Caenorhabditis elegans: one gene and its partner. The protein of the gene in region 1 interacts with the protein of each later gene in a pairwise test. Each region holds a gene or a part of one and is shown in the gene's direction. Other genes may lie near its edges.

Region 1 (5,057 bases):
TTCAAGTGGCGCCAGGGAGATGAAACAACTGGGATTCCTAGTGACAAGCAAAACATCTTTTTTGCTCATCAAACAATTCAAAACGCTTGTGCTACTCAAGCTCTCATCAACTTGCTTATGAACGTGGAAGATACCGATGTGAAGCTTGGAAATATCCTGAATCAGTACAAAGAATTCGCGATTGACTTGGATCCGAATACTCGCGGTCATTGTCTTTCGAACAGCGAGGAAATTCGCACTGTTCACAATAGTTTTTCTCGTCAGACTCTTTTCGAACTTGATATCAAAGGCGGAGAATCGGAGGATAACTATCACTTTGTGACATACGTGCCAATCGGTAATAAGGTCTACGAGCTGGATGGGCTTCGTGAGCTCCCACTTGAGGTTGCTGAGTTCCAAAAAGAACAAGACTGGATTGAGGCAATTAAGCCCGTAATTCAACAAAGAATGCAAAAATACAGCGAAGGGGAGATCACGTTCAATTTGATGGCACTTGTTCCAAACCGCAAACAGAAACTGCAGGAGATGATGGAGAACTTGATTCAAGCAAATGAAAATAATGAGCTTGAAGAGCAGATAGCCGATCTCAATAAAGCCATTGCTGATGAGGATTACAAAATGGAAATGTAAGAAATGCTCTAATTTAAATATTTTATGTGTGAAATTCAGGTACCGCAAGGAAAACAATCGCCGACGTCACAATTATACTCCGTTCGTAATTGAATTGATGAAGATTCTTGCAAAGGAAGGAAAATTGGTTGGACTTGTCGACAACGCTTATCAAGCCGCTAAAGAAAAATCCAAGCTGAATACAGACATAACCAAGCTTGAATTGAAGAGAAAACAATAGATATTGCATTCTAAACGTACTTGAATTATTTATTTGTATTCTCATAATTTAAATGGGTTCTTGATTGTTTTTGTTTTAATATCAGACATTAAATTTATTAGTTCAATAATTTGTTTTTATATTTGCATCATTTCTGGTCTCAATCCGTCCAGCCTATTTTCGATTGCATGTGTTTTTAAAGGCCTGTCACAGCTTAATACAAGATTAGTTACAGATGGAGATAAATGAAGTAGAAATGGCGAGTGATATGCCTCTTGTCCAGCTTCCACAAAGAGGAGAAAGAAGTACGAACAAATTTTGATATCAATAGTAATTAAATTTTTCAGTAAACGTTCCTCTCGTGCAGTCCCGAAGTGAAGATCAGCGCCTTGTAACCAGTGCTCGTCAAACTGACAAAATTGATGCCGATGATTTGGTCGCGCTGGCAAATCAGTTAAACAGTGCCCGCCAATTGGTGAAAGGAAGAGCTTGCGATCGTCTGAAGCAAATTGCCGATCAAATGGAACAATTACATATGGCAGCTCGTGCAGTTCTCGAAGATGCTCAACGCGATGAGCATTTGCATAACGTTCCCTGTAACATGGAGAAGCAACCTGGCCGAATTTACCATTTGTACCAGAAGCAAGGAAGCATGAACAAATATTTCTCTATGTTGGCTCCTAACGAGTGGGGATACCAAGAGAAGAAAGAAGAATATCTTGGATCATATCGGTTGGAATATGACAGAAGCTGGACTCCTGTAGGAGAAATGGATCGTAAAGACGAAGAAGTCGCTCGTCTTCAGCAACTTCTTCAACGGGAAGGACCGGTCGCCTTACGTGGGAATCCTAATTTTTAAGAAGCATATGTAACATTCGTAAAAACGCATAGATTTTCAATTCAATTCCAATAACCGGGTTGTTTCTTGTGTGCCTGATACTTTCATGAATATTGTGATAATTCGAAATTATTTGTTATCTTATAGGTTACCACCCTACTCTTAATTTTTTATCTGGAAAAATCACACTACTCATTCTGTGAAATAATTTTGTAGATGAGTTTAACAACAATTATTTTTGACAATGGTGGCCATAATATGAAGATAGGTACGATAGACTCAGAGTCCCCTAGGTTTGTTTCTAATAAGAAAAATATCAATATAATTTAAATATTTTCAGATTAGTTCCAAACAGTATTGTGAAAGCGAAACATGAAAAGAAGCGGGTTTTTGTTGCACACGAGCAAGAAGAATGTTCGGACAAGTTTTCGCTATTCTATGTGCGACCAATTGAAAGAGGATATGTGGTGAATTGGGATACACAACAGCAAATCTGGGAGAAAACGTTCGGATCTATGGATGTGGAGGCGTCTACTTCTCGAATTGCACTCACAGATAATAACTATCTAATCCCAGCTCTTCCTGATGTCTCTAGTGAAATATTGTTTGATTATTTCGGCTTCACAGAGGTACACAAAACGTCTGCTTCGACTTTGGTGGCAAAACATTCAAATAAAATCAACAACGAAAAGTGTGCAGTTGTTGTGGATTCCGGGTTTTCATGGACTACGGTAGCTTCATTTGTGAATGGAATGCTTATTCAGGATAGTGTTATAAGGTTGGAAAGTGTTTTCAAACTACAATTAGCTTTATTTTTAAGGATCGATGTTGGTGGAAAAGCGTTAACAAATAAATTGAAGGACTGGGTATCTTACCGACAATTGAATGTTAGCGAAGAAACATACGTTATCAACGAATGTAAAGAGGATCTTTGCTTCGTCTCACAAAATTTTGATGAGAGCATGAAAGAGGCTAGGTAGGTATAAAAATGAAGAATACTAATTATATTGTTTTTATTCAGGAATCGATTTCAAGAAAATACAACAATGAAACGATATATTATGCCGGATTTCCACTCGACATTCCGAGGTGTAGTGAAAGACGTTAAAGAGCCACACGATCCACAAATTCCTTCAATTCATTTGGGAGTTGAGAGATTCGCCATTCCGGAAATCTTATTCAAGTTAGTAATTTCGGCAAAAAGTATAAACTATTTTATCTGTTGCAGTCCCTCGGATATTGATATTGATCAATGTGGTGTCGCAGAAGCTGTTATCGAGAGTATTTGTCAATGTCCAGAAGCATTACGGCCTGCTCTGGCAGAAAATATCATCGTGATTGGCGGATCGTCGTGCTTCCCAGGATTTCGTGAACGCCTGGAACGAGAAGTTCGATCAATGCTGCCAGCAGAATATGGATTGAATGTTTCAAATGACGTAATAAACCCACAAACTCATTCCTGGCATTGTGGTCAAGAGCTTCTCACTGCTTCTAAAGTTCCATGGATCAACCGAAAAGATTGGGACGAACGAGGAGACTCGTTGGAGTTCTCTAACTTTTTCCAGACTCTTGTGCAATCCGATGAACTGAAGGGAACTCGTAATTTCGATGATCAGAGGGAGAAATCCCCAAAGGAAGATGAAGATTTCTGAACTGATCTCTTATCACTTTAAAATAAACATGTTTTATATATATATATGCCAAAATATTTTTTTTTGAGATCAGAGGTTTATTTTCCTTTGTTGGACTTATTTTTTTTCATGTGCTGTTCATTTTTTAAAAATCAATATTTCAGATGTCAGCAGGGCCGATAGTGGAAAGAAACCAAGATGCAACAATTTACGTTGGTGGATTAGACGAGAAGGTGTCAGAGTCCATCCTATGGGAACTTATGGTACAAGCAGGACCTGTTGTCAGTGTCAATATGCCGAAAGATCGAGTAACTGCCAATCATCAAGGTTTCGGATTTGTGGAGTTCATGGGAGAAGAAGATGCAGATTATGCAATCAAAATTTTAAACATGATCAAATTATACGGAAAGCCAATTAAAGTAAGCTATCAAATATGTTTAGTTTATTATTTAAAAAAATAATATTCAGGTGAACAAAGCATCGGCTCATGAAAAGAATATGGATGTTGGTGCAAATATTTTTGTTGGAAATCTGGATCCAGAAGTCGATGAGAAATTGCTATACGATACGTTCAGTGCTTTTGGAGTTATTCTTCAAGTTCCAAAAATCATGAGAGATGTTGATTCGGGAACGTCTAAAGGATTCGCGTTCATCAACTTCGCTTCATTCGAAGCTTCAGATACAGCATTAGAAGCTATGAACGGCCAATTTCTTTGCAATCGAGCTATCACCGTCTCATACGCTTTCAAGAGAGATTCAAAAGGAGAAAGACACGGAACAGCAGCGGAGCGTATGCTGGCTGCACAAAATCCACTGTTTCCAAAAGACCGGCCACATCAAGTATTTTCTGACGTTCCACTTGGTGTTCCAGCTAACACACCTTTGGCCATGCCAGGAGTTCATGCTGCTATTGCTGCTCATGCAACAGGACGCCCAGGCTATCAACCACCACCATTGATGGGAATGGCTCAATCTGGATATCAAGGACAATATCCACCAGTACCACCACCTCCACCAAGTGTGACACCAATGCCACCTCCAATGCCGCCAACGCCAGGAATGACTCCTCGTCCACCACCACCACCATCATCTGGAATGTGGCCGCCACCACCACCGCCTCCACCAGGAAGAACTCCAGGACCACCAGGTATGCCTGGTATGCCTCCACCACCACCACCATCACGATTTGGTCCTCCAGGAATGGGTGGAATGCCGCCGCCACCTCCACCAGGGATGAGGTATATATTTTTGTTCTAAGTTGAAAATATCGTTCATGTTCACCGTTCGAACTTACACAATTTTTCTTTTCAGATATCCGGGAGGCATGCCGCCACCACCACCGCCGCGATATCCTTCTGCTGGACCAGGAATGTATCCACCTCCACCACCAAGTCGTCCTCCAGCACCACCATCTGGTCATGGAATGATCCCACCTCCACCACCTCCATCATAATTACTCGATCGGATTGGAATACCTTAATCTTTATTTTCAGAAACTTTTGTTTTTCACGAAAAGATCTTCATTTCAGCTGTTCTAAACTTTTACATTTTAAATTATTTCGTTTTATTCTCATTCCATAAACCAATTTCTATTTGATGTCAATTCAACTTCAATCATATTCCACAACCATCATCTCCTCCTCTCTCTTATCAATCTCATCACAATCACACCTTTCTTTTCCAATTACCACTTCGATACGTCAAGTCACGTTCTTCAGCGGTTTTTTGTTGCATTTTAATGTTCTCACACAATCTGTAC
Region 2 (4,394 bases), on another chromosome or scaffold:
CCTAACGAGATTATGCAATTTCAAGACAACAGAAACATGAGAAAGTGATCAGAAAATTATTAAAACTACAAAAAATTTCCATATTATAGCCTAAATTAAATTAATTTTCAGATCTCAAAGAAGTTGGAAGACATTCGCACTCGCTACGCCTTTTAACATAATTTATTTATTTTTATTTGTTGAATTTCTACATTTTTATTTCATTTTTAAATGTTTTTTCTCCTGATTCTCTCATTTGATCTTCGTTTCCTCCCGTCCCAACCTATTCCCATCCTAAAATTATAAATTGTTAAATAACTTTCTTAAAAGATTTTTTCAGGAAATCTCTCCTTTTTACCTTTCACTAATATTCTTTTACTCCTTTTTTGTTTCTCGTGCGCCGATTGTTAACAAGATCACCATGATATAATCATTGAGATAAGAGAAGAAACATAAAATATGAGACATTGTGAATGGCGTGATGTGTAGCTGATCAGCTGTCTGGAATTCCAGATGAGGTATACGGTCGAAGTGGGTCTAGAAAAATTCGCCTTGCCAAAATTTCCGATACTAAATTACAAAAATCATTTTCCGGGAAATAGATATCTCAGAGAAACTGCACCGGATTCTCAGCATTCGAGGATTTTGGAAAAACCAAAAGAAATTTTATTTGGAAAATTAAATGAAGTCTATTCTAGGAGATTAAAACATTAAAAAGTTTATAGAATTCTATTAGACATTAAAACCACCTGAACTTTGCAAAATTGATAAGCGAAACCTAATTGTCTACGAAATTGGCGGCGGAGGGCATTTCGAAAAAAGAACTACGATAAGAAGTGACCTTGGATGATAGAAAGTAAGAGATACATAGATCTCTAATAGATTCTTCTAGAATTTAACGAGATTTGCAAAGAAAATTTTAGTTTTAATTGTAATGAGCAAAATTATATTTCAGAACACAGTTATATTTCAGAACATATCACTTAGAAATTTTGAAACTGTCCCGGTCGACGTCTTGCATGAAAAATTACATTATCCAAATTGAGGCGCCACATTGTAAAAAATGTGTCAAAAATAGAAAATTAATTTTTGAATTTCCCTCGCTTTCCTCTTTCTCTGCTTTCTCTCAAGCTCTTATCATTCCTGCACATCTAACATAGAAAAGTACACAGAAGCGGAGAATGAGAGACGCAGCACATCCACGACGAAAAGTGGGCGGAGACTGATGTGGCACAGGCATTTGGGTGCTATAAAAGGCCGCCGTTGGGCCAGAAATAACGCCGTAGGAATACGGGCTAGCAAAAAAAAAAGAAAGTGATTTTTCCCTTTCAGACTGAAAAGGTACTGAATCATTCTAGAACAAGAGGAAAGTGGGGGAAATCTATCATCGACGAATCCTAAAATTTAATCTGAAACGTGATATCCTTTTCTAGGTCGTACAGAATCTTCAAAGAAATCTGCGGTGGTGTGGAATTCAGGAAGGTCACTTTACCAAAGCTATCGGCCAAAGTAATCTTACATTTTACAAGGCTATCAAGATTTTATCGCCAATTCTCCATAAATAACGCTGTCTTGACGGTTGACGAGCATCGCAGGATGCATATCTCACCTCATGTGTCAATACGTTTTTTTCTTAAATTTTCTTTAGTAATTTTCAAATAAAAATCATCGTTTCGCGGCGAGTAAGTCCAAATTTTAGGCCTTCGTGGCGGGACCCACTGAGAAAAATCACTGCGCCTTTGATCGAAACAGTAGAAATTTCGAAAAAGCTTTCTTTTTGGGAAAAGTTTTTGCAAAGTTCCTCGCTTTGTTTTATGTTTAAAAGACCGACTAGTTGTAAATTTCTTCGTCATGGTTCCAGATTTAATAGATTTTCCCACATATTAAACTCTAAAACCTAAAAAAGTTCTCGTCCACTAACTATCTTCCGTATTTTCGGGTTTACTTATTTACACATGGATTATTGTTTTTTTCCATTTAAAAATTGATGTTTTGGCAATCCACGTAAGCCAAGGTTGTTTTTGTTTATTTTCGATTCTCTGATAAACAAAAACAACTTATAAATTGGAAAATAACCTTCTCACAATCAGTTTTTTTTTCTTCACAAACTCTTGTTTTATCCTTTTCACAGCCGAACTTTCAAAAAAGTGTCTCATTTTTTTTCTTTATTTCCGTCTTATGGACTTCTTCGCTTCTCTTCCCTATCCGTCCTGCAGATTAAAATAAATTTCTAATTATTTCAGGTAAAACACATTCGCAATGGCCCAGTCTAAGCCAGCTTACAAGGTCGCTGATATCAAGCTCGCCGATTTCGGACGCAAGGAGATCATCCTTGCTGAGAATGAGATGCCAGGACTTATGGCTATGCGCTCCAAGTACGGACCATCCCAGCCATTGAAGGGAGCTAGAATCGCCGGATGTCTCCACATGACCATCCAAACCGCTGTTCTCATTGAGACTCTTACTGCTCTCGGAGCTGAGGTAAATCTTGTTTTTTGAAAGAATTAGTATTAAAATAAGTTGGTTTGAAAAATCGAAACTTTTTCCAGGTCCAATGGTCTTCCTGCAACATCTTCTCCACCCAAGATCACGCTGCTGCCGCCATTGCCCAGACCGGAGTCCCAGTCTACGCCTGGAAGGGAGAGACCGACGAGGAATACGAATGGTGCATTGAGCAAACTATCGTCTTCAAGGATGGACAACCACTCAACATGATCCTTGATGATGGAGGTGATCTTACCAACTTGGTTCACGCCAAGTACCCACAATACCTCGCTGGAATCCGCGGACTTTCCGAGGAGACCACCACTGGAGTCCACAACTTGGCTAAGATGCTCGCCAAGGGAGACCTTAAGGTTCCAGCTATCAACGTCAACGACTCTGTCACCAAGTCCAAGTTCGACAACTTGTACGGAATCCGCGAGTCTCTCCCAGACGGAATCAAGCGCGCCACTGATGTTATGCTCGCCGGAAAGGTAGCCGTTGTCGCTGGATACGGAGATGTCGGAAAGGGATCTGCTGCTTCCCTCAAGGCTTTCGGTTCCCGTGTCATTGTCACCGAGATCGATCCAATCAATGCTCTTCAAGCCGCTATGGAAGGATACGAAGTGACCACCCTCGAGGAGGCTGCACCAAAGGCTAACATCATTGTCACCACCACTGGATGCAAGGACATCGTTACCGGAAAGCACTTCGAGCTTCTTCCAAATGACGCTATCGTCTGCAACGTTGGTCACTTCGATTGCGAGATTGACGTCAAATGGCTCAACACCAATGCCACCAAGAAGGACACCATCAAGCCACAGGTAAGAAAATGTTCAGAATTAGGATGAATTCACAATCATCGATAGAAGTTTGAACCAACTTTTTTCAGGTTGACCGTTACACCCTCAAGAACGGACGTCACGTCATCCTCCTTGCCGAAGGACGTCTTGTCAACCTTGGATGTGCCACCGGACATCCATCTTTCGTCATGTCCAACTCCTTCACCAACCAAGTTCTCGCTCAAGTTGAGCTCTGGACCAAGTTCGGAACTCCACAAGAATACAAGCTCGGACTCTACGTTCTTCCAAAAACCCTTGACGAGGAGGTCGCTTATCTTCACTTGGCTCAATTGGGAGTTAAGCTTACTAAGCTTTCCGACGAGCAAGCTTCATACCTTGGAGTTCCAGTTGCCGGACCATACAAGCCAGACCACTACAGATATTAATTTTGTTGGTTCTACCCCATACGGATATTTTTTTAACTGTTTTAAATTGTATTGCCCTCAAACTTCATATGATCTTGAACTGGTTGTATTGTTCCCCATCTACCCGCTTTTCCCCCAAATACATAATCGCCTGATTTAGTCGTTTTTCTTCAACTCGTTGATTTGGTTCTGTTGTTTGTCTTTTGGACATAAATGTTTTATGGAGTAACTTTGACGATTGTTTGAGAAATTATTCTGAAAACGTTTGATTAGGCGTGAGTTTATCGAATTTTCAGATCTACGCCCGGGAAATTTCAAGCAGGGAAAAACAAATTTTAAATTTGTCGGGGTGAAGGGCGCTCTATTGATAAATAAGTTCTTTATTTCTCTCAACGCTTCACTCATTTCGTGTTTCACTTTTTATATTTACAGAAATTCCCATGATGTTCAATTTTTATCAGTTTCTCTATAACCTGCAAAATGTTTCCCCATTTATTGATTTTTCAGTACTAAAACAACTTACCCACACGAAAATGAGGGAAAATGAGCCGGCAAGATTTGAGACTCGTTCATTCAGTCAATTAATAGATCATGCAAGAAGTTGGAAGACGGAGGTTCGAAAAATGATTTAAAAAATATTATTTCGATAAACTGATTCAGGTGCGCGGCATGACAACACAAGGATTCACAAAAATTAGCCTCATGCGTGCAGAAAAAGATCGTCTCA

Evidence for each region.
Region 2: the proteins of arp-6 (region 1) and ahcy-1 interact in a two-hybrid assay, tested with the Caenorhabditis elegans proteins (one large-scale study listed by BioGRID).

Annotation. Positions count from the first base shown.
Region 1 is NC_003280.10:8,034,173-8,039,229, reverse strand, and holds arp-6 (Actin-like protein C08B11.6), read left to right. Parts: upstream 1-1,883; coding exon 1,884-1,960; intron 1,961-2,007; coding exon 2,008-2,445; intron 2,446-2,487; coding exon 2,488-2,643; intron 2,644-2,688; coding exon 2,689-2,850; intron 2,851-2,895; coding exon 2,896-3,319; 3' UTR 3,320-3,353; downstream 3,354-5,057. Other genes in the region: Ubiquitin carboxyl-terminal hydrolase ubh-4, read left to right, coding at 1-626, 670-850; C08B11.9 (uncharacterized protein), read left to right, coding at 1,086-1,134, 1,177-1,688; sap-49 (Splicing factor 3B subunit 4), read left to right, coding at 3,463-3,717, 3,767-4,536, 4,610-4,751.
Region 2 is NC_003279.8:6,834,247-6,838,640, forward strand, and holds ahcy-1 (Adenosylhomocysteinase), read left to right. Parts: upstream 1-2,222; 5' UTR 2,223-2,238; coding exon 2,239-2,460; intron 2,461-2,528; coding exon 2,529-3,284; intron 3,285-3,352; coding exon 3,353-3,688; 3' UTR 3,689-3,894; downstream 3,895-4,394. Other genes in the region: teg-4 (Splicing factor 3B subunit 3), read left to right, coding at 112-156; dpf-3 (Dipeptidyl Peptidase Four (IV) family), read left to right, coding at 4,108-4,281, 4,328-4,394. UniProt on the Caenorhabditis elegans protein: Adenosylhomocysteine is a competitive inhibitor of S-adenosyl-L-methionine-dependent methyl transferase reactions; therefore adenosylhomocysteinase may play a key role in the control of methylations via regulation of the intracellular concentration of adenosylhomocysteine.